Macaca fascicularis: one gene and its partners. The protein of the gene in region 1 interacts with the protein of each later gene in a pairwise test. Links are inferred from orthologs where the notes say so. Each region holds a gene or a part of one and is shown in the gene's direction. Other genes may lie near its edges.

Region 1 (4,088 bases):
CACCTGTAATCCCAGCACTTTGGGAGGCCCAGGCAGGCGGATCACCTGAGGTTAGGAGTTCAAGACCAGCCTGGCCAACATGGCGAAAACCCCGTCTCTACTAAAAATATAAAAATTAGCTGGGCATGGTGGCGGGTGACTGTAATCCAAGCTACTCAGGAGGCTGAGGCAGGAGAATCGCTTGAACCTGGGAGGCAGAGGTTGCAGTGGGCCGAGATGACGCCACTGCCCTACAGCCTGGGTGACAGAGTGAGACTCTGTCTCAAAAAAAAAAAAAAAAAAAAGAAAAAACAAAACAAAAAAACCTTAATGTCCTTGGGTAAACTATGACGTTTGTGTTAGCTTTTCAGATGTCCCAATATTTGCGTTGTTTTATAAGGATAACAAAATTCATGATGAGGTTAAGCAATTACTGAAGCTAGTGCTAGACAGTTTTTTAATTTAATTTTTTAGAAACAGGGGTCTTGCAGAATTTGTTTTATTTAATTTTTTAGAAACAGGAGTCTCGCTATGTTGCTCATGTTGGTCTCCAACTTCTGGGCTCAAGTGATCCTCACAAGCAGCTAGGGCTACAGGCACAGGACACTATGCCAGGCTTAGTGCCAGAATATTCTGCCTATTTTACTTTAAAATATTCTAAGTATGCTTACTTTGGAAGGCATGAACATCAGCAATGTGCCATCCTCCAGAAGAGGATTTCTACACAAAGACTCTCAAGAAACGGGAATTACTGCAAGGGCATACCCTTGAGCAACCATCACACTGCACTGAGCTCTTGAAAATATTCTGGAATATCCTGGAAGCATCTCTGCACGGCAGAGAAGTGAAATGCCACAGAAGCAGCAGCTTTAGGGAGGAGAAATACGGTTTGCCTCTTACAGTGCTTTTCTACACTGAAAGCTACATTCCTCCCGAGTTTTAAATCTGTGGACCGTTGAATATCACTCCGCCTTTCCTGAAGTTACAAATACCTTCCGTCGGTGGCGGGAATAGAGTTTGGAAAATTACATGCCTAAGACTTCAGATAAGCTAAATGACATACATGCAATAGAATCCCATTAAGAATTTATGCAACCCAGTCCATTGCATCTAATTACCCAAAGCACAGAAACTCTCCAAACTGTGCACCCCCCAAAAGGAGGGAAAATGCAAGGTTCTTGCTGCAGTTCCCGGGACACACTGCGAGGTGCTTTGTTACAAGTGTATCCAATGTCCCCAGAACCAGGGACTTGTGGGGCGCGGCTCAACCCAGCGCCACTTGCTCTGCAGCTCCCAGAGGTGGTGGTTGTGCTACGAAGGCTGACCCTGCCAATGGCCGACAAGATGGTGCGCACCCCTAAGTGCTCGAGATGCAGGAACCATGGCTTCCTGGTTCCCGTCAAGGGCCACGCAGGCAAATGCCGCTGGAAGCAGTGCCTCTGCGAGAAGTGCTACCTGATCTCCGAGCGCCAGAAGATCATGGCCGCGCAGAAGGTGCTCAAGACGCAGGCCGCCGAGGAGGAGCAGGAGGCGGCCCTGTGTGCGCAGGGTCCAGAGCAGGCCTCCGGGGCCGCGGCCGCCGCGCCCGTTCCCCTCCCGGGCGGGAGCCTGCGCCCTCTGCCTCCGGGGACTCCCTCCGGAGACGCCGAGCCGGGACCCGAGGGCCGCGCGGCCGCCTGCTTCTTCGAGCGGCCCCCGCGGGGCCGGAGTCCCGGCCCGAGCGCCTTCCAACCGGTTCTGGGCGGCCGCGGCCACGTGGAGCCGAGCGAGCGAGCCGCCGTGGCGATGCCCAGCCTTGCGGGACCCCCTTTTGGGGCGGAGGCCACAGGCAGTGGCTACCCCGGCCCCCTGGACCTGCGCAGGCCGCTGCGGCCCGTGCCTGGCCCGCCGTTCACCGACTTTGGTAAGTCGTGGCCTCAGTCCCGCGGTGGACTCCCCGAGCTGGCAGTACAGGCCAGCCCGGATGGGCAGCTGGCATAGGGGTTTGGGGTGGGGAGAATGCTTTCCACGGGTAACGTACCTTCTGCTTTAAGAAACCCTTCTTGGAACGGGGATTTGGATTGGGTACCTTTTCGCAAAAAGGAAACATAAGGGAATGGGCGGTTCAGAGGGCTTTTTTTTTTTTTTTTTTTTTTTTTGAGACGGAGTCTCGCTCTGTCGCCCAGGCTGGAGTGCAGTGGCGCGATCTCGGCTCACTGCAAGCTCCGCCTCCCGGGTTCACGCCATTCTCCTGCCTCAGCCTCCTAATAGCTGGGACTACAGGCGCCCGCCACCACGCCCGGCTAGTTTTTTGTATTTTTAGTAGAGACGGGGTTTCACCATGTTAGCCAGGATGGTCTCGATCTCCTGACCTCGTGATCCACCCGCCTCGGCCTCCCAAAGTGCTGGGATTACAGGCTTGAGCCACCGCGCTTGGCTCAAAGGGCTTTTAACATTTAGCTGTAGTTTGTGCCATTCTGGCATGCAAGAACAAAATGGCGTCCAGTCGACTTAGCAGTGCTTCCTCCTCCGGGAAGAGGCCTCGAGGAGCCCAGTCCTACTGCGCTTGCGCACCTCTTCCCGCCATTTCCTTGGGCTGGAGGCTCCTCCTCCAGAATAAGAGACTTTTCCTGCCGGCAGGTTAGCGCAAGGACGACTGCGCCTGCGCACTCTTCCTTCCCTGTTCGCGGTCGGGAGGCTCCTCCCCTCAGCACGGCCCTGGACCAGTGCGCCTGTGCACCTCTTCCCTCCCTTTCCCCACGTGCGGGTGAGCCGAGCCTGCTGCTTTACTACACGTAAGAGAACAGTTGGTCTGTAAAGATGTTGCCTTTCTTTTTGCCCCTCACCTGGTACATAAATTACATTGTTCCCTGTGCCTTGGAGCTTTCGGTATTGAAGTACAGTTTCAAGTCACATGTACATTTGAAGCTTTAAAAGCCCCGGGGTTTGGTGTGGACGCGTTTTCCTGGTGTCTCCCCATGGTGGTGTCGTGGGACGGGCTGAGGCCGAGGCGGGAGCCTGGGTCACGCTGGACAAGCTCCTGCCCTCTGTGTGCCAGGGCATTGGTCCAGAGGCTTCCGCAGGCTCGTCCCGCCTTCCTGACTTTCCAGGAAAATCTAGGTCCCCAGGGAACGCCCCATCTGATGGGGTCACAGGTCTGAAACTGCAATTCTAGGAGAAGCCGCCTTTCTTTGTTCCATCTCAACAGACAAGCAGGGCTGGGCTGAACTATGAGCCAGGCATTCGTGATGAAGGACGCGGGTCACATTTCTTGCCCTCAGGGACCTTGTCCTTGTGGGAGGGACAGGGTTGATTGAAGAGTCACACAAATCGCTGTCCAGAGCTCGAGCCATGGCCGGGTTCACTGTTGACCCGGAGGAAGAGTAACTTGGCACGGAGGACTCGTAGAGGCAGAGTGTGGGCAGACGGCGTGTGGGCAGCGGGGAGCCGCAGGCCGGGGGCCCACAGCGGGCTTGATGGCCGTGCCGAGGACTCTCCAAGAGCAGCGGGGCTGGCTGGAGGATGGAGATGCAGTGAGGGCCCAGCGGAAGGAAGGGCGGGGTGGGCTTTCTGTGCTTGGACAGCAGCGCTTACGACTCCGCCGGCCTGTGCCACCCTGCGGATGCTTTTCCCAGCGGTGTCTAACACTTCCCTCCTTGCTTGCCTTCTTCAGGGCGCCCTGTGAGCATCAACCCGGACCGTGCACTGGGCCCTGAGTACCCTGGCGGCTCCAGCATGCACCCCTACTGCCCGTTCCCGCTGGGCTACCTGGACGCCCCTCCTGGCGTCCCCCTGCAGCAGGGCTTCCGGCATGTGTCCCGCAGCCAGTACCAAGGCGGAGGCTTGGTGAGTCCCACCCCTCATTTCTTGCCAGCTTCCTCCTCCTCCCAGCAGCCCCTGTTGCTTTGATGGATCCTCATTCCCAGGAAGCCAGCTGTCATAAACTGTGTGCCCACTCCATGCCAACCCCCGAGTGCTGGTGGATGGCTTTACGCACTGCCCAGACACAGTGTGTGTGTCTCTGGGAGCACACGTGTGGACCAGTCTGCACCACTCGGCCTGGGCTATGGCCTGTGCTTTTCAGGGCAGTGGGCTGAAAGACTCTGAGCATTCAGGGTGACCCCTTCCTT
Region 2 (4,171 bases), on another chromosome or scaffold:
ATTCACGCAATATCCTTTTATTCCTATAATGTACAGGGCACGATATGGAACCCAGGGAAATCACAGCAGTCCTTGTTCTCACAGTCTGGTAGGGGAGAGAATCTATTGCACAGATATCTCTGTCTCCACGAAGTTGACAAGTCATAAAGAGCTCCTCAGGCAGCAAAGTGTAGAGAAAGAGAGTATGGTCCAGCGTTCTGAATTCTGGATCTGCCACTTTTTTGCTGCAGGATTTAACTAAGGTTCAGTTTCATCATCAATGAAATGGAGATCATGGTATCTACCTATATTACCAGTTTGAAATGGGTCTGTGGATGCATTGTGCAAACCCTAAAACTCTTACAAACATCGGATATTAGTACTAACTTCATTAGGAATGTGAGTTATGTCAGAGTAAAAGCGCTCAGAGCTGGGGTGAACTACAGACGGGTGGCTTCATTCCTCGACCTTCCAATTCGAGATCTTTTTCCTTCTGCGGGAGGGGAAGCAGGCAAATAGCCTGCCTCTCACAGAGTGCCCATTCCCTCCCCGGGAACCAAGGTGCTCAGGCGGGTAAACTCAGGACACAACACTGTACAACTAGTCCCACAGGCAGGAGCCACTCCCTGGCCCTCGGGTCTCTCAAGCCCCGCCTGCTCCAAGCTACGGCCCCGCCCCAAAAGGAGACTGACCCCGCCCCCTCTGCGCTGGCCGGCACTCCTGCCGCGCGGAGCCTCCAGGACAGTCCCAGGCCCGTGCCGGAGATTCCCGAGCTTCCCCGATCGCTTCCCAGCCTCCCTCGGGCAGCTAGCGAGGAGGCGACGGAGATTGCCGAGAAGGGCTGGCCCCGCCCATCCGCAGGCCGCCACCGCCCCCCTAGCCATAGCCTCCCGCGCGGGCTGGAGTCCTACATCCCGGTCCCTCCCTCCCTCTTTCTCTCTCCCCGCCTTCCCGGTGCTGCCACAGTGGCGGGTCGGAGGATCCCGGCCAGTCAGCTCGTTCCTGCCTCGCGCCCCTCCTCCCCCCAAATAAACAGCCCTCCCTACGCCTTGGGAGCCCGGACCGCCCCCTTCCTCCCTCGGCCGGCGTGTTGTGAGGGAGAGTGTGAGCCAGCGCGGCCGGCGGGCGAGCTCCGGGAGTGCGAGAGGCGGGGCGGCGCGGCGGGCCGGGCCGGGTGTCGCGTGTGCGTGCGGGGGTGCGAGCGAGTGCCCGTCGCGACCCGCCAGTGGCCCCGCGCCGACAACCCGGCGGGCGGGCGGCCGAGCGAGCGAGCGGCCAGGCGAGGAGCTGCGGGTGCGAGCCGCGGAGGGGCGCGGAGTCCGCGCGCTCGCGCGCACGCACGCACGCACGCACGCGGGGGGCGGGGGCAGGCGCGCGCCCGCCTGTCGCGACAGTCGGGGCCGAGGCCCAGGGGGAGGTGGCCTGTCGCGGGTCGCCCGGCTCCCGGAGGCGAGGGGGGCGCGGGCGGATGGCGGAGGGCGCCCAGCCGCAGCAGCCGCCTCAGCTCGGGCCCGGCGCCGCTGCCCGGGGCATGAAGCGGGAGTCGGAGCTGGAGCTGCCGGTGCCCGGAGCCGGAGGAGACGGAGCCGATCCTGGCCTGAGCAAGCGGCCGCGCACTGAGGAGGCGGCGGCCGACGGTGGCGGCGGGATGCAGGTGACCGCGCGGGACGGGGCGCCCAGTTATTGCGGGGGAGAGGGGGAGTGGCGTGAGGGGCGACCCCGGGCTCCCCGGCTTGGAAAGAGGGAGGGCCTCCGGGGGTCCTGGGTTGGAGGTGGGATGGGGGGACCAGTCGGGGCCTGGTTGGAAGGTGGGGCGAGCTCGGGCTAGGAACGAAGGTTGCAGGACTGATCCTGGTGTGCCTGAGAGGGTCCTGATTCCTGAGGGGCGAGGAGGCACGACGAGTGGATAGGTTTTGGGGGGAAATCGAACGTGGTTGAGATGGATTCCATTTCTTCAAATCCTTCCTTAGTGCCCTGGGGTGGAGTGGAAGCCGGGAAATCCTGGGTTCTCTGGACGGAGTCGAGGAAGAGGGGATCTCGTGGGAAACCTCCCAAGAAGAGGGAGTACCTTTTGGCAGCCCTGGGCACCCGCTGGGATGGGGAAGAGAAGTGGCGTTTCAAGGAGAGGAGTGAAAAGCAAGAAAACTCCGAGAGAGAGCCCCGAGGGGATGTGGCTGAGATTGTGGGTTAAAACACACAGAGAGTGTGAGAAGTACAGGGAGTTTGGTAATGTTGTGGGGACACGGTGGTGCTCAGTCTCATTAACTTTGTGGAGCATACTAATGAGTCTGAAGGGAGACACCAGACATGTCCCTCCTGTTCTTTGCCAATTGCATTCTACATCTCCAGGACACAAAATAGCTCTTTAATGTCCTGGGCTATTAAAAAAAAATTTATAGGGCTATTAGAAGACTGGATTCTCAATTCTGGATTCAAAGATAAAAGTGGTTAATTTGGGTAGGGAATGGGAAAGGTATTGATGATGTCAGTTGACTTCATAGTTTTGAGGAAGACCTTGAAACCTTTGTAGGTTTTAGGGTTTGGTCTCTGCCCAGAAAATACTGCTATGAAATGGTGAGTCTCACCTATCAGCAATTGTGCAGACATGTGCCTAGTTCTCTCAGAGTCATAGGATGTTAGAGGGATGAGGAAGACTAGACATCTTTTCCAGGGGTTCTTAACCTGGACAGACTAGGAAGATTCTTACTTATAAAAGGTGATGTGCACTTTTTGGTGGCAGAGAGTCAATAATTTTCATCTTGGTTTTTTTTGGAGGGGATTTGAGTCCCAGCTTGTTTTAACCACCTTATTTTATAGATGGGGAATCAGAAGTCCAGAGAAGATGAGTGACTTGGGTAAGGCCACCCAGTTAGCTGATAGTAAAACTAGAACCAGAAGCCTGGTCTTCTAATTCCTATTCCTGTGCTGTCTCCATTACACCACTCTTGGAAATCTCTGCAGTGCTAAAAGACTTCCTGTGCTCTGCTCCCTGCTTTTCAAGCCTCTGCCTGACTTCCTGTGTTAGGGACGGAGCTGTACTTAAGCCTAGCGTATTTGTTGTGTGCTTCTTGGTCTCCTTTGCAGAGTTTACCCTGTTACTTGTGTTGATTTAGGTAAAGTGACCCTCTTGGTGTTTATTTTTGAATTCTTTTGTTTTGTTTGCCTGCTTTTATTTTCCATTAGAACTCTGTCAGGTAGAGGGATTGTGAGAAGTAAAAGCTCAGGGCCATGGAAAAAAAGACAGGAATATGGGAGACTGCAGGTGAGGTGAGCTAATATTGGATGGTAAGGAGGGAAGACTGGATATAGGTGCTGGTGAGCAGGTTCTACTTTGTGTGTGTGTGTGTGTGTGTGTGTGTGTATGTCTGTATGTATTCATTTATCATTTCTGTCAATCATAGTTAATAGTGAGACCCCCATCCCTTTCCCTCATTTACTCCTGGGGCCTATTATCTGCTGGTTGCCTTCAAATTGGCTAAAGATAGTGATATTCGGAAATGGAGCAATATGTAGGGACTTCACAGGGGTGTGCAGAGGAAAGAGTGGTTAGGTCCTTGGGGGTAGCTGAGAACTATCCCTCTGAGAATCCTTTTTTCACTCTGTGTATTTGTGGGTGTTCTTTGTTTATTTTCTTTCTATACATTTTTTTTTTTGCCCAGGATGGAGTGCAATGGCACGATCTCGGCTCACTGCAACCTCTACCTCCACCTCTGGGTTCAGGCGATTCTCCTGCCTCTGCTTTCTGAGTAGATGGGATTACAGGCATGTGCCACCATGCCCAGCTCATTTTTCGTATTTTTAGTAGAGGGGGATTTTCACCAGGTTGGCCAGGCTGTTCTCGAACTCCTGACCTCAGATGGTCCACCCACCTCAGCCTCCCAAAATGTTGGGATTACAGGCGTGAGCCACCACACCCAGCCTTCTGTGCATTCTCATTGTTGTAGGTCCATTCCCCTATGTCATACAGGTATTCAGATCATCACTGATTTAGGTCCTGCCTTCAACTAGCTGAGTGCCTGCAGAAATCTTTCATTTTGGGGCCTCTGTTTTCCTTAGCTATAAAATAAAGTATGTGTACAAGATGATTTCCCTCGTGATCTGCCCGCCTCGGCCTCCCAAAGTGCTGGGATTACAGGTGTGAGCCACCACGCCCGGCCGGTTTCTAAGTTACCTTCTAAAAGATATAAGTCCA
Region 3 (3,993 bases), on another chromosome or scaffold:
AGGAAAACATCCGGACATGGGACTCGGCTTGGAAATACGCTGGAAAAGTGGATTCTCTCACCTAGTCAGCTGGCCCTGATAATTGTTGGTTTTACACTCAGATCTTGGTGGCTTTCCGGGTTCTGGGGGCTCAGGCAAGAGGGTCATAGGCCAGATTCATTCCCTGTCTCCAGGCCTCAGTTTACCCATGTGTAAACGTGAAACTGATTTCCCAGGGCCTCACCCGGGCCCTCACCCGGGCCAGGTGGCGCTCTACCCAAGGGGCGCGACCACATCAGTGACGTCACTCGGGGCGTGGCCGGCAAGACACGCTGCGGAAGCCTCGGAGGGTGTCTGGGCTCAGCCTGGAGCCGGCGTGTGGGGGCGGGGGCTCCGGGGAGGGTCTCCTCACCTCCGGGCCCTCCTGAGGGCTGGGATGATCCTGCTGTCCTCCGCAGGCGAAACTGAGTCAGAGCGGGGCGTACGTGGGTCGGAGGCTTTACATACCCAAGAAGCCGGCGCCTCCTGCCCACCTCGGGCGAATGCCAGGCCCCCAACTCCGGCACTCCTCGCCAGTCCCCACCTCCACCCCCACCCCACCCCCGACCCTGCGGCTGTGAGTCAGCGGCCGACCGCGCCCCCTTGGCCCACTTCCTCCTCACCTTCCCGGGGCGGGCGGGGTGGGGTGAGAGGGGTGGGGCCCTACTCCCCCCCACCTCCCCTCCCGCGCGGGTGGGGGGCTCGCCCCCTTAGTAACCCCTCCGAAATTGACAGAAGAGAGACGCTGGGGAGGGGCGGGGTTCCGAAGATGGAATTTCAGGGAGAAAATCTGAGACCACTTGCTTAACTAACTGGAGGGTCCTCTTCGACCCCCAAAATTGAGCGGAGTACGAGATGGAGAAGTCGATGGGGAAAGAAATCGTGCCCCTTCCGAGACGCTCCTGAGAATTCCCACAGTGGAAGCGAACTAGGGAGCAAGGGAGGTCGCCTTCCCCTTCACCAAGCTTGCCCCTCCATGTGGTGGTGACTCCCAGGGTGCACCCCTGGACGATAACGTTGGGGAGAGCAGCAAGATCGCGGAAGCAGAGGGTGCCGAGTTGCCCTTTTAAGCGCCCTCCACCCCCTCGCCTGGAGGCGCGCGCGGCCCCTTTAAGGCGCGGGGCATTGTGGGTGCGGGGAGTGGAATTTTGGAACGAAATGTAACGAAGAGAAGTACAGTAGTAAGAGTAACAGTGTAGCCGCCGCCGGCAAGGGGGGCGCGTCGGGGAGCAGACGCCGCATCCCCTTTCTGCCGCAGGGACCTCTCATCAGATCGCCTGAGGGAAGCGGCGCCCGGAGACCCGCCCCGGCCCGGTCCACGTTCTACCCAGGAAGCCGGACTCTATGGGGCGGGACCCTGGGGGAGCCTGAGTCGAGCCCGGAGCCAGCCCCGAACCCCTGAACCTCCAGCCAGGGGCGCCCCGGGAGCAGCCAGTCCGTGGGCGCGCCGCCCGCCCGCAGATCAGCCATGAGGTGAGCCGGACCTGCCCCCCGACCCGTCCCCGCCCGGGCGGGCTCCGCGCCCCGCCTTTGTCCCCCTCCCCCCCAGCTCGCTCCGGGCTGGAATTTGGGGACAGATCCTTGGGAGCCTCGGATTTGGGCTGAATCCCCTAGGACAAGCCCCAAAACCGTCGATCACTTCTCCACGACTGACTTCCCAAGCTCGGGGGGTGGTGGCGGTGAGGTTCCCCTGGGAGCCCTCAAGATTTGGGGACGCTCGGAGGACTCCCGAATTGTTAAGACTTTTTTTCAGAGGACCTCAAAGTTGGCAGCGACTCCCCGCAGGGATGCCAGGATTGAGGCAGGGCTCAGACTTTCCTCCCCCTCCCCCCAAACTTCAGCTCGAGGTCGGGGAAGGATTGTGGGGGACTGGTTTGGGAGACCCTGGGACTTGGAAGAGAGACTGAGACTCAGACCCTTGGTGTGCAGGGACCCCGTTTACGTGGTGCTGGAAAAAGTCTCCCCAAGTGAGACCGCGCTCCTGAACTTCGGGGGTACTTCTTAATCCCCTAAATTTTGGGGGGCACTTAGGTCTTCCTGTGGAAGAGGCTGGTATGAACCGATCCAGGGACCCGGACGCAGCCTCCGGAGTCTGGTGGGATTCCCCTCCCCCGTCGCTCCGCACGCAATCTGCTTAACAGGCAGTGCCTAGGACAGAGCGGGCGCTCGGAGCAGAGGGCGGCTCCCTGCCCCGGGCCATAAGGGCGGCCCGGCTCCCCCACCTGCGCGGCCCTGGGGAGGGAGGGGACGCAGCAGCTGGGGGAAGGGGGCCTTTGTCTTCCTGACTCACCTGTCGAGACAGCTGGTGTGGGGGGCGGGCACCGAGCGCTGTGGGCCGGCTGCCTTCCCCACCACGGCGCCTCCCCCTTTGCTCGCCGCCCCCCCCATCCATCCGGAGCCTTGGGGTTGGAGGAGGGGGAGCTGGAAAGCTTCAAGGTCATAGCCCTCTTCCCTAGGGACCCAGGCTTCCCAGATAATTCCAGCTATCTTCCCAGGAATTTAATCCTGGGGGCGGCGGCCCAAGGGACCCAGGGATTTGGTCTGGCCGGGGCCTCCCCCGAACTCCTGGACTCACCTGAGGGCGGGGCCAGTGTGGGCAGGGGGACCCAACCATCCTCCCATTCTCCCCTCCCCTGGCCCCCCATAATCTCTCCCATGGGGCCAGAGCCTGACAATACTATCTCCCTTCCTCCACTCTCTCTGGGACTTCCTGCCCCAAAGCCCCCAGCCTTAGCAGGGAGGCCCCTGGGGACGGCTGGGGATTAACCCCGTGGTGCCCACATCCCCTGCATTTCCTGAACCCCTGCCCTTTGACATCGGAGTGGAGTGGCGTTCCTTTTTATGACCACTAGAGAATTCCCCTCCCGCGTTTGTTCCTTCTGATGTGAAAGGCATGGCTGGAAAATTTGGAGCAAGGAGGACACCCACAGATACCCTCAAGACTTCCTGCCTATCCTATCCGCTCCCCATTATAGCAACATCCCTTCCAAGTCCGCCCTGGAGAGGGGTCAGTTTAGGGAGCGTCGCTCTCTTCCTTCGCCCTCTTCCTCCGGGACTCTTCTCTCCCCTTGCCCCCCAGCCCCGCCCCTCCACCCCCCTCGCGTTTCCGGTCCCAGGCTCAGTGGAAGGCGGATGGCGGATGTCCGAGTTAGTGCTGCCTCACTCACTGCAACCGTAAAAGGGCAGGAGTGGTGTCTGGGCCGGCCCCCTGCCCTCCCCACCACCACCACCACCACCACCAGCAGCCCTGGAAGCCCTGGCCCTCCCACAGGGCCCACCTCTTGCTGGGGCGGTGATCAAGCATCCCACCTTGTGGGGGTGCTGGGGTGGGGTGCAGTGCAGAAGTGACCAGATGCCTGTCCCACCAGAAGGCCACTCCCACCTTTCCAGGGGTCTCCCCTGCAGGTGGTCACACCCGACTTACTGGGCTGTGCCTCTTCTCCAAGGACAGCCAGGATTCAAAACCCATGCCCCTATTACCCAGCTGGGGAAACTGAGGCTCAAAGAGAAAAAGACATGGCCAAGATCCCTCAGAAATTCCTAGGCAATGTTGGAGGGGTGGAGGAACCTAGGATCCTCTGATTTCTGGCTGGTTTGGCTGGGGGACAGTCCTGGGGGCAGTTGGAAGAGAGGATGTTAAAATGGAAAATTACAAGATATAGTTCTTTTTCTCCCAATTTGACAAATATTTGTTGAGTGTCGGCTGTGTCCCGGACTGGAGCTGGGGTGCTGGGAAGACAGAGAAGCGAGGCAGAGGTCTAGAATCTCAGGGCAGAAGGGACTTGGGGAGAATTGGGGTCTATTTCTTTCTTCCAATAATAGCTATTTTTATTTTTTTTAAAATAAGAGACCATTTGATCAAGCATCTATTTTATGTGGGGCATTTTTGTGCCTGACAGCAATTCTGGGTTGTTTTTTTTTTTTTTTGCTCTTGTTGCCCAGGCTGGAGTGAAATGGCGCGATCTTGGCTCACTG
Region 4 (3,500 bases), on another chromosome or scaffold:
CCTAGTAGTATCCAAAAATATGTGGATGAGCTAGGACAAAAGGAAAATATTAACAAGAGAGGGTTTAAAAGTAAAGCAAAGGCTGGGCACAGTGGTTCATGCCTGTAATCCTAGCACTTTGGGAAGCTGAAGCGGATGGATCTCTTGAGATCAGGAGTTTGAGACCAGCCTAGCCAACATGGTGAAACCCCGTCTCTGTAAAAAATACAAAAATTAGCCGGGCACAGTGGCTCACACCTGTAATCCTAGCACTTTGGGAGGCCAAGGTGGGCAGATCACAAAGTCAGGAGTTTGAGACCAGCCTGGCCAATATGGTGAAACCACGTCTCTACTAAAAATACAAAAACTAGCCGGACATGGTGGCGTGTGCCTGTAATCCCAGCTACTCAGGAGGCTGAACCCGGGAGGCAGAGGTTGCAGTGAGCCAAGATCGCGCCACTGCACTCCGGCACAGGGTACACAGCGAGACTCCATCTCTTAAAAAAAAAAAAAAAAAAAAAAAATTAGCTGGGCATGGTGGTGCATACCTGTTGTCCCAGCTACTTGTGGAGCTAAAGTGGGAAGATCACTTGAGCCTAGGAGGCGGAGGTTGCAGTGAGCTGAGATTGTACCACTGCACTCCAGCCTGGGTGACAAAGTGAGACCCTGTCTCAAAAAACAAATAAATAAATGAAAAGTAAAGCAAAAAGAATTGAGTGAAGCTGAAGTTTATCAGTGTCAGGATGACTCAAACCAAAGTGGAAGGCATTCTAGGAAGCACTTTTTAAAAATTTTAATATAGATTGAACTCAGAGGTTATAAAACATTGAAAAGATTTGTGAGTGAGACGGTGATTTCCTGTGGCTTCCTTGAGAAAGGACAAACATTTCTTGCCAGGCAGATAATCTAACTTTTGAGGCCCTTTCCAGCCTCAGGATTTGATGTGGTTCTGTAGTGCAGCAATCTCCAAGCTTCTTGGCACCAGGGACCAGTTTCTTGGAAGACAGTTTTTCCACAGACTGTGGTGGGAGTGGTTGCAGAATGATTCAAGTGCATTACATTTATGCTGTACTTTATTTCTATTATTATTACACTGTAATATATAATGAAATAATTATACAGCTCACCATAATGTAGAATCAGCGGGAACCCTGAGTTTCTTTCCCTGCAATTCGATGGTCCCATCTGGGGGTGATGGGAGACAGTGACAGATCGTCAAGCATTAGATTCTCATAATGAGTGGGCAACCTAGCTCCCTCATGTGCACAGTTCACAATAGGGTTCATACTTCTATGAGAATCTAATGCCCACTTTGATCTGACAGGGGGCGGAGCTCAGGCAGTAATGTATGTGATTGGGGAGCAGCTGTAAATACAGATGAAGCTTGCCTGCCACTCACTTCCTTCTGTGCAGCCCGGTTCCTAACAGGCCACCAGAACTTGGGGACCCTTGCTATAGTGCTTCTGTTCAAGCCCTGAGGCAACAAAACTCCTTATCGTTTCTTGCCAAATCTGATCTGCCTTTATCTAATCAGGTATTGATACTGCTGCTCCGTGTGGTCTGAGGATGCTTCTCCACCCTGCTCCTCTGAGTAGCAGCTGGGTCCCAATTAAGACTTGTTCTGTCTGTTCTTGTAGCTCTTTATTTACTAGGAATCTACAGAATAATTCTTTCTCACAGGCTGGGCAAGGTGACTCATGCCTGTAATCCCAGCACTTTGGGAAGCTGAGGCGGGTGGATCACCTGAGGCCAGGAGTTCAAGACCAGCCTGGCCAATGTGGTGAAACCCCATCTCCACTAAAAATACAAAAACTAGCCGGGCGTGGCAGCACATGCCTGTAATTCCAGCTGCTTGAGAGGCTGAGGCACGAAAAATGCCTGAAGCCAGGAGGCGGAGGTTGCAGTGAGCCGAGATCGTGCCACTGTACTCCAGCCTGGGTGACAGAGGGAGACTCTGTCTTAAAAAAAAAAAAAAAAAAAAAAAAAAAATTCTTTCTCACAGATAATTAATCTTTCTGTTAATTCTTTTTTTATAGCAAGGAAGATGTCCGAGCAACTGAAAAAGACAAGGTTGTTGGTTGGTTCTCTTTTTTTAACGGCTTTACAAATCTCAATCCCTTAAAAGTATTATCTCAGACCAGGCATGGTTGCACACACCTGTAATCCCAGTACTTCGGGAGGCTGAGGCGGGAGGATCACTTGAGGCCAGGACTTCAAGACCAGCCCTGGCAACACAGTGAGACCCTGTCTCTACAAAAATTTTAAAAATTAAAAATTAGCGGGCATGGTGGCTCATGCTTGTAGTCATAGCTGCTTGAGAGGATGTGGCTGGAGGATTGCTTGAGCCCAGGAGTTTGAGGTTATGTGGTGGCACAAACCTGTAGTCCTAGCTACTTGGGAGGCTGAGGCAGGAGGATCCCTTGGTCCAGCAGTCCAAGGCTGCAGTGAGCTACCATTGCATCACTGCACTCCAGCCTGGGTGACACAGTGGGATTCCACCCTTAACAAAAAAGGGCTGGGTGCGGTGGCACACACCTGTAATCCCAGCTTTTTGGAAGGCCAAGGCAGGCAGATCACGAGCTCAGGAGTTCAAGACCAGTCTGACCAACATGGTGAAACCCCATCTCTACTAAAAATACAAAAACTAGCCAGCGTCATGCTGCGCGCCTGTAATCCCAGCTACTCAGGAGGCTAAGGCAGGAGAATCGCTTGAACCTGGGAGGTGGAGGTTGCAGTGAGCCAAGATCGTACCACTGCACTCCAGCCTGGGCAACAGAGCGAGACTCCATCTCAAAAAAAAAAAAAACAACAAACAACTTTTCATTTGTATGATAATACTATAGAAGCAATTAAAAGTTGTTGACTTGACATGAGTAATGATGATTTCTACCCTCCAGGATTAGAAAGTAGACTGGCTTTACCAGAAGGGTTCACAGTTTCATATAGACCCAGTCTAGAACTTTCACTTACCATTCCTGTTCTTTCTTTACAGGTTGAAATTTATAAGAGTTTCCGCCCAGGTGACATTGTCTTGGCCAAAGTGGTATCCTTTATTCCCAGCAGACTTCTGGGTTTTTGTCAAAAGAAGAGATGGAGGCTGGGCGTGGTGGCTCATGCCTGTAATCCCAGCACTTTGGGAGGCCAAGGCGGGTGGATCACCTGAGGTCAGGAGTTCGAGACCAGCCTGGCCCAACATGGTGAAACCCTGTCTCTACTGAAAATACAAAAATTAGCTGGACGTGGTGGCGCATGGCTGTAATCTCAGCTACTCGGGAAACTGAGGCAGGAGAACCGCTGGAACGCTGGAGGCACAGGTTGCTGTGAGCTGAGATCGCGCCACTGCTCTCCAGCCTGGGTAACAGAGCAAGACTCCGTCTCAAAAAAACAAAACAGAGAAAGTAGAAAAACAACTCAGCTGACTAAGGTTGGGGGAAGACTTCTAACTCCTCATTTTCCTTCAGTGTTATGTGACTAGATCTCCCTAGGTGATGCACAGTCCAACTACCTGCTAACCACTGCCG
Region 5 (4,289 bases), on another chromosome or scaffold:
AATCAGTATAAAGAATGTCTGCTGGGGGGTGGGGAGAAACAGTTAAGCAAATACTGTAGTTAGAAACTTACTGGTGCAGGACAGGAGCAGCAGGCTGGGACGGAGAATTCCTGGGAGTAAGAAGTGGGGCAGAACCCACTGATACATGGAGTTCCACATTTATACATTTGTAGCAGTCAAATCTAAGAGTTTAACACAGTGGTTCCAGACAGTAATTCCATCAGTTTGGGAGGCCAAAAGCCGGAGGATCACTTGAGGCCAGGAGTTCGAGATCAGCCTGGGCAACAAAGTGAGACCCTCATTTTTCTAAAAAAAACAAAAAAAAAAAAACAAAAAAAACAGAGGCTTTAACGATCGAGTATTGGAAAAGCTTTCTAAGGCCCGGGAAAAATGGAAGTTTCCTTAATAATAATGTTAGCTTCCATGTATTGTAAACCTAAACGAAGCAAGAATGAATACTGGGTGCTGTACATAGTTCTATCAACCTACAATCTCGAAAACGCTAGGAGACACATTCAGCTGCTCCCATTTAACGGATGAGGAAACAAGTACGCAATCCTGAAGTTGGTGCAAAGCCCAGGCCCCCTTTCTTCTTCAAGTGTGCTTCCAGCCTCTGAAATTCCTCCGTGTGGACCCCGAGCTCTGCCTGCAATGAGGAATATTCACTTTGCCAACAAATATTTATTGAGTGCCTACTATACACCCGGTAGCTCGTTTAAATAGCCGTGGGATTAAAAAGATAAATAGGGTAAGTTTGTGGTTTTTTCTTCCAGGAAGGAGCTTTCTGAAGGGTGAGGGAGAGGCCAAGTAAACAATCCCAGAACAGTCGGGTGAGAGTTGGGAGAGGAGTCGGGGGCCGCGGGACGCCCAGGCAGCGAAGCGGGGAAGGCTCCGGGCGCGTCGCAGGACCCGCGCTGGAGATGGGTTTGAAGCCCTGTCCTGAAAAAGCCGGCCCGGAGGGGGCTGTCCCCGGTGTCCCTCGAGTTCTCATCCTGTCATTCAAACAGCAGGGGAAGAACCGGGTCTGGCTCGGGAAGGGTGGGCTTAGGGCCAGGGGTGCAAATCCCATGGTAAAAGCCGGCAAACAAAAGTCGCACACATCCCAGCTCCCGGTCCTGGCCCCGGCGGGGCAGGGTCCCCGAAGTCCCGGGGCGCGCAGACGCCGGGGCCCCCGGGGGCCGAGGGAACTGCAGTACCCGACCTCCCCTGCCCTCGGCCTCCAGGGCCCTCGCCCTCCGACCAGCCGCCGAGTCTGGGGCTGGGGTCGCCGCTTCCGCCCGCGGCCCGCGGCCCCTCCCCGGCGCGCGCCATCCGGCCGCCGGCCCCTCCTCCCGCGGGGGGCTCCGTCCCGCGCCCCGTCCCTCCGGGCTGCAGCCGGCAGCCCACGTCCAGGGAGGGCGGAGGGAGGAGGAGAGGCGCGGAGAGGAGGGAGGGGAGAGGGGAGGGAGGAAGACGAGAGAAAGGGAGCTGCTTCCATCCCGGACTTCCCAGAGCCTGCCTGGAGCGCGCACTCAGCGGCTCTCGGGTCCCAGCGTCCCAGCCGCCGCCCGCGCCTCTCCGCCCCGCTCCTCCTCCTCTTCCTCCTCCTCCTCTTCCTCCTCCTCCTCTTCCTCCTCCTCCTCTCTAGGCACCCCCGTCCCCTCCTTCCAGCGGCTGCAGCCCCCAGCCCCAACTCTCTGCGCTTACTCCTGGGACGCGCGTCCTCGCCCCATCCTTTGCTTCCTTCCTTCCTTCTTCCTTCCTCCCCTGGCTCCCGCCCTCCCTATCCAGGTCGCCCTCCCGGGGCCCGATTGTCTCGGTGCCCCGCTCTCGGCCCGCGCCCTGCCCCGTCTCTCCCTCGTACTTCCTGAGTCGCCCGCCGCTGCCGTCGCAGTCTCGCCGCGGGAGCCCCAGCCCGACAGCCACTGCCCCGGCTCCAGCTCCAGCCCCGCAGCCCGCGGCGCCCGCCCGAGGGAGCCCCGGCGCCCGGGGAAGGCTACAGTGGGCGAGCGCGCCCTCGCCCAGCCCCGCGCCCCAGCCCTGCCCGGCCCGGCGAGGAAGGACCGGGAAGATGAACAACGGCGGCAAAGCCGAGAAGGAGAACACCCCGAGCGAGGCCAACCTTCAGGAGGAGGAGGTACTGGGCGGCTCGGTGCAGTGGCGGGGGCGATCCGGGACCCAGTGCGGGCGGCCGGCGGGGCGCGGGCGCGGGCCCGGGGCGCGGCGGTGGAAGGTTTAGGCATGGCCCGTGCCCGGGACGCAGCCCCGCAGTGTGGCCCGGGGAGGGTGGATCTCGGGAAAGTGTGTTTTTGTGTCCACGCGCGTCTGCGGGCCCCAAATTGCGTAACTCTAAGGACTTTTCGGAGACTTTTGTAAGTATAATGCTCAGCTTTGTTTGCCCGGGATTTAAAAAGTGGAACCGAGAGCTGACTCCTGGGTGACCTCAGATATCGGGACTCGGAGGGTCAGGACTTAGGGCTGGGGCTGGAAATTGTGTGTGGATTCGGGGTAGCGGGGGGGCAGTTTAAGGAAGAAACTCGGGGAAAAGTTTTCATTAAAAGATACCTCTGTTCCCTGCCCCCTCCCTTTCCGTGTTAAAAGTTCTTGGTGAAATATCTTTCTAGCCGAGGGTTTTTGGATTAATAGATAACTCATCAGCCACATTCTTCTCTGCTGAGTCAAAGACCCCGAACCTGGGCGGTGAACGCTTGCGAATTTAGGGCCGTGCAGATGAGGGGAGCAGAATAAGAGGGTTAAAAACGCAGCAATTCACCAAATGCTCATCGAGGATACTTTTATAGGACTTTGACTTCTGAGCACGCATTTTAGGTGGTGCGTCCTCACGATGAAAGTTTTGTGACTGCGGAGCGTTCCTTCGGTGGAAACAAAATTGAGTAGATGTGGTCAGAAGGGGAGTCGGACTCAGGAACAAACGTTTCAGAATTCAGTAGTAGGGTATTTGTGGTATCCTACCAAATGACTGTTTCTGCAGGTACATTATCTGGAGTCCAAGAAATTACTTCTGGCGTACTTTTTAATATCACACACAGTTGAGTTCTTAACATTCTAGAGGAACTTGAGAGTGTGTGCAGATGCAGGAAAGTGCATGTCTCAATATGACCCGAAAAGATTCACACAGGTATTGCATCCTGATCTAGGTGAACACAGAAGGTAAACGGATTCTAAAGCGTTAGGACGTTGAGATCATTGTTGAGACACTGTTGTGTGCAAACTTCAATTCTGATAGTGAAACCAAAATTGCAGAGGAATTCATTAATGCATACAAGTTCTCTGCACATTGTCCACTTGGAAAATGGGAACTATTTAGGTGGAGAAGGTAGAGGAGCGAGACTATGCCAAACAGTGCAAAATCGGAGATTTTACTCTCTTACCCAGTTGTATGGTAGTGAAAACCTAGATGAGTTGCAGTCAGTCAAAAATTGCTTTCTCACCCGAGGACATTTTCTATTTTATTATAAAAGACTATTTGAAGAGTTGTTTACATGCATGTTTTCTAATTACAAGTGTAGGAATGCTACTGGCGTTTCTTTTTTCAAAGCAATGGAGAGTTGAATGGTATGTTCTAACTTTTTTTCTTGAACTTTACTGGCTGCTTTGCTATTTATTTTCCCTACCACTTAAAAAAATTTAAAAATAATGCTTTTTTAAATTTGCTTTTTTAGGAATTACTATAGTTAACTAATTCACTTACCATATCAAAATAATTATCGCTTCAGAAATCTTCCTATTTCAGCTAAATGTGCAATCTGTTTGCTTCTCAGGGTTAGAATATTATATCAAACCATCTTTATTTACCCAGTTGAGAAAACTTTTTTTTTTTTTCCTTTTGGTGGGTAGCAAAAGAGGTTCAATGTCCTAAAAATCATACCCACTTAAAATTAAGTATAGAAAAGGCACATTTTTCCGCTTGACCCATCTTAACAGCTGCCAGCACCGAGGGATTGCCTGCCCTGTTCCTGGACGCTCCTCTGTCCTTGCGAGGTTGTGTGTAATAATTGCTGTATAATCGCGGACCATTGCAGTATGGTTGCTGCCTCTTACTTGTCCTGTTACCTGACAGTGTTCTTTTTCAGGTAGGAATGGCATGAGGCTCTAGAAAGTATCGATATTTTTAGCAAAACACTTGTTATGTAAAAAATAAGGGGACTGGTAGGAAGATTTCAGAACCTAAGTTGTCCAAGAGATGTCGTGTACAAAACAGATAAGACTGTGAAGAGAGGGGGTTTATAATGTCAGAAATTCAGGAAAAGAAACTAAGGTGGCCTGAATGATCCGGGTAATTTTGCCTT
Region 6 (4,130 bases), on another chromosome or scaffold:
AACAAAACACCATCTTTCCAGTACCACTCCCAATCACATACGACATAATTTATCCTAAACGCAATGTTAACACAATCAATTTGGGAATGGTAAGAACCACCTTCTTTTCAGAAATCCTTCGAACAAAATCGAAAATCTCTAACCTAACAACTTGAAAACGACATTATATAGAAATTCATCAACTGCCGTTCTTTCTTCCAAGTGGAACCCCTCTGCGTCTTTGGCTACAATTTTTTTTTTTTTTTTTAAAGCCTGTCAAATTTAGCTGTAGGGGTTGTATACTAATTTTTGTGACACTAGTAACTACTAAGTTATAATAACCCATTACCATTGGACCAGCCTGAGTACAATTTCTAAAGCCCTCCAACCGGGTCGGGGGCCGTGGCTTATGCCTGTAACCCCAGCACTTTGGGAGGCTGAAGCAGGATGATTGCTTGAGCCCAGGAATTCGAGGTCAGCCAGAGCAACATAGCGAGACCCTGACTCTACAAAAAATAAAAAATTAACCGGGGGGTGGTAGCGCGCGCCTGTAGTCCCAACTACTCAGGAGGCTGAGGTGGGAAGATCACCTGAGCCCGGATTTCAAGGCTGCAGTGAGCCCTCATTGCACCACTTGCACTCCGGCCTGGGCGACAGGGGCGAGACCTTCTCCCCCCACCCCAAAAAAAAGGGAGGCGGGGCGCGGTGGCTCACCCCTGTAATCCCAGCACTTTGGGAGGCCGAGGCGGATGGATCACCTGAGGTCAAGAGTTTGAGGCCAGTCTAATACGATGAAACTCCGTCTCTACTAAAAATACAAACATTAACCGGACGTGGTGGCGCGGGCCTGCAATCCCAGATACTCGAGAGGCTGAGGCAGCAGGAGAATCGCTTGAACCCGCGAGGCGGAGGCTGCAGTGACCCGAGATCGCGCCACTACACTCTAGCCTGCGCGACAGAGCGACACTCCAAGAAACAAAAGCTCCAACTGCTAACCCAAGAGGAGTACGCTGAAACGCCATCGCATAAAATGCTCGGTCACCAGACTTTTGTCACAACGCTCCTTCAAATACACCCCGGCATTTCTCTTTCCTTAGGTTCCCAAGTCTCGTTTTTGTTAACACCACTGAGGACAAAGCCACTCGCGACGTTTACGCCGACCCTTTAACCACTAGACATTAACTGTAACCCCCTACGGGTTCCGTCTCTTCCTCCACTTGCTCCAGACGACATTTCCCCACAGCTGCGTGCTTCAAGCACATTCCGGAACCCCAGCAAACCCCACCCCCAACAGGGAGCCTCGCCTTTCCGGCCACAGTGCCAAGGCCGGCCTCCGCCCAGCCGCCATCTTACAGCTCGGCCGAGGCGGCCCACAACATGGCGCCCACCCGACCCTCCCACGTCAGGCGGCGCCGCTCCCTCAGCGGAGGGCGAACACTCCAAGAGGGCGGCCGGCCTAGCAAACACCGTAACTACTCCCGCAGGCCGGATCCGGCGGCGACGGGCTCGGCCGCGCAGGAAAGAGGGGCGCGCCGCCATTATGCAGCCTGGGAGTGAAGGGAGCAGGCAGTCGTCGCGCCAGGGACGGCGGGCAGCAAACAAGCGGGAAGTGGTGGCATCGCCAGGCGCCCGCGAGGCTCACAGGAACGGCCCTGTCACCTAGTCCGCTCCCTCCTGCGTCTTACCGTCCTGGACAAAGACTCCAAGTCGAAGGAGACAAAGCTTGTAACGCAATCACGGGAATCACCCAGCTGACTGCGACGAGCACCGACAACAAAATGGAGCTGACAGCTGCTGCGTCGGGACTCGCCTCGAAAACACCGATGACGCAACGAGCGCGTCTCCGCCGCGGGGCGGGGCATGCACGGGGCGAGCAGGCGGAAGGGGCGGGCGTCCGGAGCGTTGGCGGACGCGTGACCACGGTGGGCGCAGGCGCCGGGGCGGGAGCCAGAGGTGGGTGATGAAAGGAAGTTGTAGATGCTTGCTGTGTTGTCTCTAATCTCCCGATACCGAGAAAACATTGCAGTTTTAGGGGAGAGTGTCGTCCCCACTCACTGAAAATTGTTTTTGAACGCTAGAACAAGGAATAACTTGTGAACAAGGAAAAGTGAGGGACTCAGGATACACAATAGCACGTGCCCTGATTGCGACCACTAAAACAATTACTTTAAAAATAATACTTCACGGCGCGATGTGTCTGGCGCGTAACCCTAGCACTTTGGGAGGCCGAGGAGAGCGAATCGCTTGAGCCCAGGATTTCGAGACCAGCCTGGGCAGCATAGGGAGACCCCTGTCTCTAAAAAATAAGTAAATGTTATACCACTAGCGTCAGATGGCTTCAGATTACTAATGGGATCAGTGAACGTGTCAGCTCAGTGTGAGCCAACAGAAATCAATGTTCTGCACCTTGATCCTCATGGTGCCTGCATTAGGCCCACCGTGGGTAGCCAGCGTACCTCCTATGATGCTTTTATGGCTGTAACTTGAGTACACATTCTAAGAATAAAACTCCTTGATAAGTTTTTGAAGGGAAGGCCAGCGTTAAAGAAACAGAGTGGCGGCTCTACAGCAAATGCAGGCTTTATGTCCAGCCTAAGATCTACAGAAGTGGGGGACCAGCCTAATGCCGGTGCCCACCAGTGGGATACTTTTAGGTAAGGGCGGGAGGGGCCTGGGCCATAACGCTTACTGGCTTGCTGCCCTGCAGGATGTTAAGATGTTCCCATAACGAGGCGGTTCTGGCCCTTGTTCCCGCGGAATGTGGTGGTGGTGGGTTTTTTTGTTTTGTTTTTTGTTTTTGTTTTGAGATGGAGCCTTGCTCTGTCACCCAGGCTGGAGTGCAGTGGTGCGATCTCCGCTCACGGCAACCTCCGCCTCCTGAGTTCAAGCGATTCTCCTGTCTCAGCTTCCCCGGTAGCTGGGACTGCAGGCGCGCGCCACCACGACCCGCTAATTTTTGTATTTTTAGTAGAGACGGGGTTTTGCCATGTTGGCCAGGCTGGTCTGGAATTCCTGACCTCAGGTGACCCACCCGCCTCGGCCTCCCAAAGTGCTGGGATTACAGGGGTGAGCCACCATGCCCCTGCAGGAATGCGGTGTTCTTCGCACTTTCTCACAGCAGAATATGACAGAGGTGTTTCTTTAGTGGTGCGTTTGTCCGTTTTGTGGTCAGGTGGTTGGGCAGGATGTTTCTCACAGCCCGAACCCCCGTGGAATGTTTCACTTTGACCAAGGTCTGCAAAATAGCCTGTGGGGGAGACGGGGCAGGGCCGGGGGAACGGGGGAGGGCGGGGGGCAGGGATTTACAAAATGGTGCAGTTTGGACTAACACTCTTAAAACCAAAAAATAACCATATTTGCACCACTGATTAAAAGTGGCAGAGTTTAGAATAAAACCTGGAGGAGGTCGGGTGCGGTGGCTCACGCCTGTAATCCCAGCACTATGGGAGGCCAAGGTGGGTGGATCACGAGGTCAGGAGTTCAAGACCAGCCTGGCCAAGATGATGAAACCCCATCTCTATTAGAAATACAAAAAATTAGCCGGGCGTGGTGGCAAGCTCCTGTAATCCCAGCTATTCGGGAGGGTGGGGCAGAATTGTTTCAACTTGGGAGGTGGAGGTTGCAGTGAGCCGAGATCTACCACTGCACTACAGCCTGGGCAACAGAGCAAGACTCCGTCTCAAAAAAAAAATAAGTGGAGCCTGCGAGTCCTGACATCACTTACCAGGAGCCACAGGGAACCCAGCTGGCACAGCAGCAGCAGCCTTGCTTCTATGAGATCAAACAGTTTCTGGAGTGTGCCCAGAACCAGGGTGACATCAAGCTCTGTGAGGGTTTCAATGAGGTGCTGAAACAGTGCCGACTTGCAAACGGATTGGCCTAATCAAGAAGTTCAACCTGGAGAGATGGAAAATCAGCTCTCATACCTTAAGTTAATTTAGTGTAAAAATAGAATTGATAGTGAAGGTATAAAGTGTAACCATCAGTTAAACCTCTCCTGTCATTCCTAGCTTCCTTACTTCAGAACTGAAATGGAAGGGGGTGTGTTCCTACTCTGTAGAATTTGGGACTGGGCAAAATGTGTTACCTCCTTAAACTAGCTGTTATGATTTTATTCTTTGTGAGTTAATTAGAATAAAGTCATTTTCTTC
Region 7 (3,500 bases), on another chromosome or scaffold:
TCCTAATTTCTAGCAAGCAAGCAGGGAAGACTTTGTCTTGTAAGAACTCAGAGATCATCACATTTGTAAAGGAAAGGAGGCTGTGCTTAGAACTGGCTTCTGCATATAGCCAGGCACTTCAAAATGTGGCTCATGGACAGACCAGGAGATCCGTATCAAGGATTAGAATTTTCCATGACTCAGTGCCATCTGGTGCCTATATTCCATTTATCTCCTTCTGTGTATATTGTACTCTCAGGCATAATTGGCTCTTCTGAAAATAGCACACATTTCCTAAGTTGGATAGTGGTAGAAGCTCGCTCACATGAATATCATTTTCTCTTCTAGTTCCATCACCAGGACAGCTTCAACACAGAGTCCACAGCGTGGGGCATTTCCCAGTGTCTATCCGACAACCTCTTAAAGCCACAGCCTATGTGAGTCCAACCGTTCAAGGCAGCAGTAACATGCCTGTATCAAACGGCTTACAGCTGTATTCCAACACAGGAATCCCCACACCGAACAAAGCTGCAGCTTCTGGGATAATGGGTCGCAGTGCACTCCCAAGACCTTCGTTGGCAATAAATGGGAGTAACCTGCCTCGAAGCAAAATTGCACAACCTGTTAGAAGGTAAGAATCTTTATTTGCATAATTTCATTTGCAGTTTGGAACTAGAAACTGCTCCAGACACACGCTGACCTTTCCTTTGGCGCACTTTAACCTTAGTAAGTCACTACCCTTTGTGGCCTGACTTGTGCTCTCCTCCCTTTGAAAAGTGATGGATATCCCTGTGTGGGTCAGGTCCCTTTCTCTCTGATATCATTTTCTTCCCCTACTCCCTCATCACTATCACTCCTAACACTTTTGCTTTTACCAGACAAGCTCTGTCTCCAGAGCTTTTGTAGCTTTCTTCTCCCAAGTTACTTGCACGGCTTGCTCTGTGCCTCCTTCAGGTCTTTGCTCAGACGGCAGCTCTATCCAAAAATTGTAGGGCAGGGGGAGTTGACTCTTTGGTTCATTGCTGTGTGTCCCCAATGCCAAGAACTATGCCCAGTATGGGTAGGATCTCAAATATTTGTTGAATCAGTCATTTTTAATGAAAATATGGAAAAATGTGTCAGGCATATGTGCACATGCACACCCTCCTCCCACACATTTATGGTTTGAAAAGCATCTTAATGACATTCACCTGGGGCTTTATCAGCTTATGTTGGTAAGTTCAGTATGGTTCAGGTAGAAATTTTTTTTTCCCCTTCAAAGTTTCAGAGTTTTTTTTTCTACTTCAAAGGACATTTTAGTCCAGCTCTTGGTCATGATGTACCTTCTTGAACTGAATATTATGGAGTGTCTTATATTAAAAATCCATAAAAGTGGTTTGAGGAAAGATTGAGGAAATAAAGACAGTAAATACAGACAGCTCTTTCAAGAAATTAGGATATGAAGGAGGAGAAGGAGGAAACATAGTAAAAATTTGAAAGAGGTGGAACAAGCAATTTTTTCTGTCTTTATGCATTTATGGATATATAAATAGTTCTGTTTTTTGTTTAGAAGTAATGGATGCTCAGATCAACAACAAATTTCGAAAAACAGAAACTGTTGAAAAATAGAAAAGTAAAGACTGACCCATAATCCTACTACCAGATAGAAACAATTTTGGTACATGTTTATTTATTCAGTAATTTTTGGCTTATTCTGCTTTGTAAATGCCGAGCTGCGTCATCATGCTGATGGCTGACTAGAATCACATTATTTGATATATATGGTTATTATAGACCATACATTATTTATCCTTGAATTTGTGTCTCCAAACTAAACACTTGGAAAGGTCACTGCTAGACAATATAAGATGGTCTGTTTCCCCAAACTTAAGCAAATACTAGGTATTATTCCTTTTAATTTTTTTTAATTTAAATTTTTTATTTTATGTATTTTTTTAGAGACAGGGTCTTGCTCTTTTGCCCAGGCTGGAGTGCAGTGGTGTGGTCATAACTTGTTGTAACCTCAAACTCCTGGGCTCAAGTGATCCTCCTGCCTTGCTAGGACTATAGTGCATGCCACCACTCCCAGATAATTTGAAAAAAAAATTGTAGAGATAAAGGTCTTGCTGTGTTGCCCAAGCTGGTCTTGAATGCCTGGCCTCAAGTGTTCCTGTTGCCTTGGCCTCCCAAAGTGTTGGGATTATAGGTGTGAGCCACTGCACTCAGCCGAAGGTTCTTTTTAAATGTTTTGCCAACATGATAGGCAAATCTTTAATTACTAATACGATTTTGAAAGTTTATTCGTATTCATTTGCTGTTTGTATTCAACAGAGTAACCATTTATGTTTTTAGGCCATTTTTCTAGCCAGGAGTCTGTATTTTCTTATTTTAAAATATGTTTTACACATTAAGGGTATTGGCCCCTTTATTTATGTTGGAAATTTACTTGTGCAAATACAACACGCATGACACTCTGCCATGAACTGGGGCTTTGGGAGATAAGCATGCAGTGAAGACCCGTAAGTGTGAACCACAAGGTACACTTGAGATATTGCCAATGGCTTCTCGTTACTGCAGTGGAGGAGCATAGATGGGAGAGTAGGTCAAAGTAAGTAATGTGACTTACAGGATTATTAACAATCTCTCTGTGTTTTTCTTGTCTCTTTTTAGTTTTCTTCAGCCTCCAAAGCCTCTGTCTTCACTCAGCACTCTGAGGGATGGAAATTGGAGAGATGGTTGCTACTGATGCAGTTTTATGTACCCTTGAGAAATGGGAAAGAAGTAAAAATGAGGGTTGTGTTACCTAGCTGGCTGGGTAGCAGTGGATGTTGGGATATTCTTTCCCTTTTGTGTTTTAATATATTTACTGCATTGTTTCTCAATGGACCAGTCACCAGAGACTAATTATTGCACTTAAATATTTGCCTGAGATACTGCAACAGTCTCAAACCCATGGTTGCAGTATTGTGACACTTAGATCTAGGAAGTTTTTGTAGAACTGCTCTGTACCTGAATACTTTTTGAGAGAATTGAGATGTATCAATAATGCTTTGCCATAGAAGTTTTTTAAAGTAACTTGTTCAATTTACTTACGTGTTCTAAACATCTTTCCATTACATGTTCTGTATTTTAATACATTGCATATTGACAACTAGGTTCTATAATGTATGCTTTGAAATTTACTTTTTTATAGTTTACAGGAATTTTATTTTTTGTGCCTATTTCTTTTTACACCTATGTGAACCACTATGGAACAACTTAAATTTTGTGCCATAAAAATATTTTTGTGGTAAGGTACTATTTTTTTAGCTCTAGGGATATATCAGCAAAAACACATCATGCAATTTGAGAGACATAATTTTGTGTTGAATGAGCACAACATAATTTGAAGCATTGCAAGGAGATAGCCAGACAGCAGAATTAAATGGTCCTGTCTTTTTCATTGTTAATTTATTGTCATACATGGGTTTCATATTTATAACGGCATCATGAGCTCATTGCACTTAATACCTGCAATGTTTGCTACTGTACCACAATTGATT

What was found.
Region 2: the proteins of DMRTB1 (region 1) and RBFOX2 interact in a two-hybrid assay, tested with the Homo sapiens proteins (3 studies listed by BioGRID). The link is inferred for Macaca fascicularis from reciprocal best matches to the Homo sapiens genes DMRTB1 and RBFOX2.
Region 3: the proteins of DMRTB1 (region 1) and VASP interact in a two-hybrid assay, tested with the Homo sapiens proteins (2 studies listed by BioGRID and IntAct). The two-hybrid records come from large-scale screens. The link is inferred for Macaca fascicularis from reciprocal best matches to the Homo sapiens genes DMRTB1 and VASP.
Region 4: the proteins of DMRTB1 (region 1) and EXOSC1 interact in a two-hybrid assay, tested with the Homo sapiens proteins (2 studies listed by BioGRID). The link is inferred for Macaca fascicularis from reciprocal best matches to the Homo sapiens genes DMRTB1 and EXOSC1.
Region 5: the proteins of DMRTB1 (region 1) and RBPMS interact in a two-hybrid assay, tested with the Homo sapiens proteins (2 studies listed by BioGRID). The link is inferred for Macaca fascicularis from reciprocal best matches to the Homo sapiens genes DMRTB1 and RBPMS.
Region 6: the proteins of DMRTB1 (region 1) and NIF3L1 interact in a two-hybrid assay, tested with the Homo sapiens proteins (2 studies listed by BioGRID and IntAct). The two-hybrid records come from large-scale screens. The link is inferred for Macaca fascicularis from reciprocal best matches to the Homo sapiens genes DMRTB1 and NIF3L1.
Region 7: the proteins of DMRTB1 (region 1) and SLAIN1 interact in a two-hybrid assay, tested with the Homo sapiens proteins (2 studies listed by BioGRID). The link is inferred for Macaca fascicularis from reciprocal best matches to the Homo sapiens genes DMRTB1 and SLAIN1.

What each region holds. Positions count from the first base shown.
Region 1 is NC_088375.1:181,219,375-181,223,462, reverse strand, and holds the start of DMRTB1 (doublesex- and mab-3-related transcription factor B1), read left to right. Parts: upstream 1-1,288; 5' UTR 1,289-1,311; coding exon 1,312-1,882; intron 1,883-3,631; coding exon 3,632-3,804; intron 3,805-4,088.
Region 2 is NC_088384.1:15,621,971-15,626,141, forward strand, and holds the start of RBFOX2 (RNA binding protein fox-1 homolog 2), read left to right. Parts: upstream 1-1,371; 5' UTR 1,372-1,447; coding exon 1,448-1,633; intron 1,634-4,171. UniProt on the Homo sapiens protein: RNA-binding protein that regulates alternative splicing events by binding to 5'-UGCAUGU-3' elements. Prevents binding of U2AF2 to the 3'-splice site.
Region 3 is NC_088393.1:53,567,455-53,571,447, forward strand, and holds the start of VASP (vasodilator-stimulated phosphoprotein), read left to right. Parts: upstream 1-1,193; 5' UTR 1,194-1,486; coding exon 1,487-1,491; intron 1,492-3,993. UniProt on the Homo sapiens protein: Ena/VASP proteins are actin-associated proteins involved in a range of processes dependent on cytoskeleton remodeling and cell polarity such as axon guidance, lamellipodial and filopodial dynamics, platelet activation and cell migration.
Region 4 is NC_088383.1:106,390,234-106,393,733, reverse strand, and holds part of EXOSC1 (exosome complex component CSL4), read left to right. Parts: intron 1-2,015; coding exon 2,016-2,049; coding exon of another isoform or gene 2,050-2,056; intron 2,057-2,971; coding exon 2,972-3,022; intron 3,023-3,454; coding exon 3,455-3,500. UniProt on the Homo sapiens protein: Non-catalytic component of the RNA exosome complex which has 3'->5' exoribonuclease activity and participates in a multitude of cellular RNA processing and degradation events.
Region 5 is NC_088382.1:33,583,769-33,588,057, forward strand, and holds the start of RBPMS (RNA-binding protein with multiple splicing), read left to right. Parts: upstream 1-1,489; 5' UTR 1,490-2,050; coding exon 2,051-2,116; intron 2,117-3,509; exon of another isoform or gene 3,510-3,552; coding exon of another isoform or gene 3,553-3,555; intron 3,556-4,289. Other genes in the region: uncharacterized protein, read right to left, coding at 716-1,477.
Region 6 is NC_088386.1:96,632,240-96,636,369, forward strand, and holds the start of NIF3L1 (NIF3-like protein 1), read left to right. Parts: upstream 1-1,330; 5' UTR 1,331-1,932; intron 1,933-4,130. UniProt on the Homo sapiens protein: May function as a transcriptional corepressor through its interaction with COPS2, negatively regulating the expression of genes involved in neuronal differentiation.
Region 7 is NC_088391.1:68,771,851-68,775,350, forward strand, and holds part of SLAIN1 (SLAIN motif-containing protein 1), read left to right. Parts: intron 1-327; coding exon 328-610; intron 611-2,628; coding exon 2,629-2,704; 3' UTR 2,705-3,500. UniProt on the Homo sapiens protein: Microtubule plus-end tracking protein that might be involved in the regulation of cytoplasmic microtubule dynamics, microtubule organization and microtubule elongation.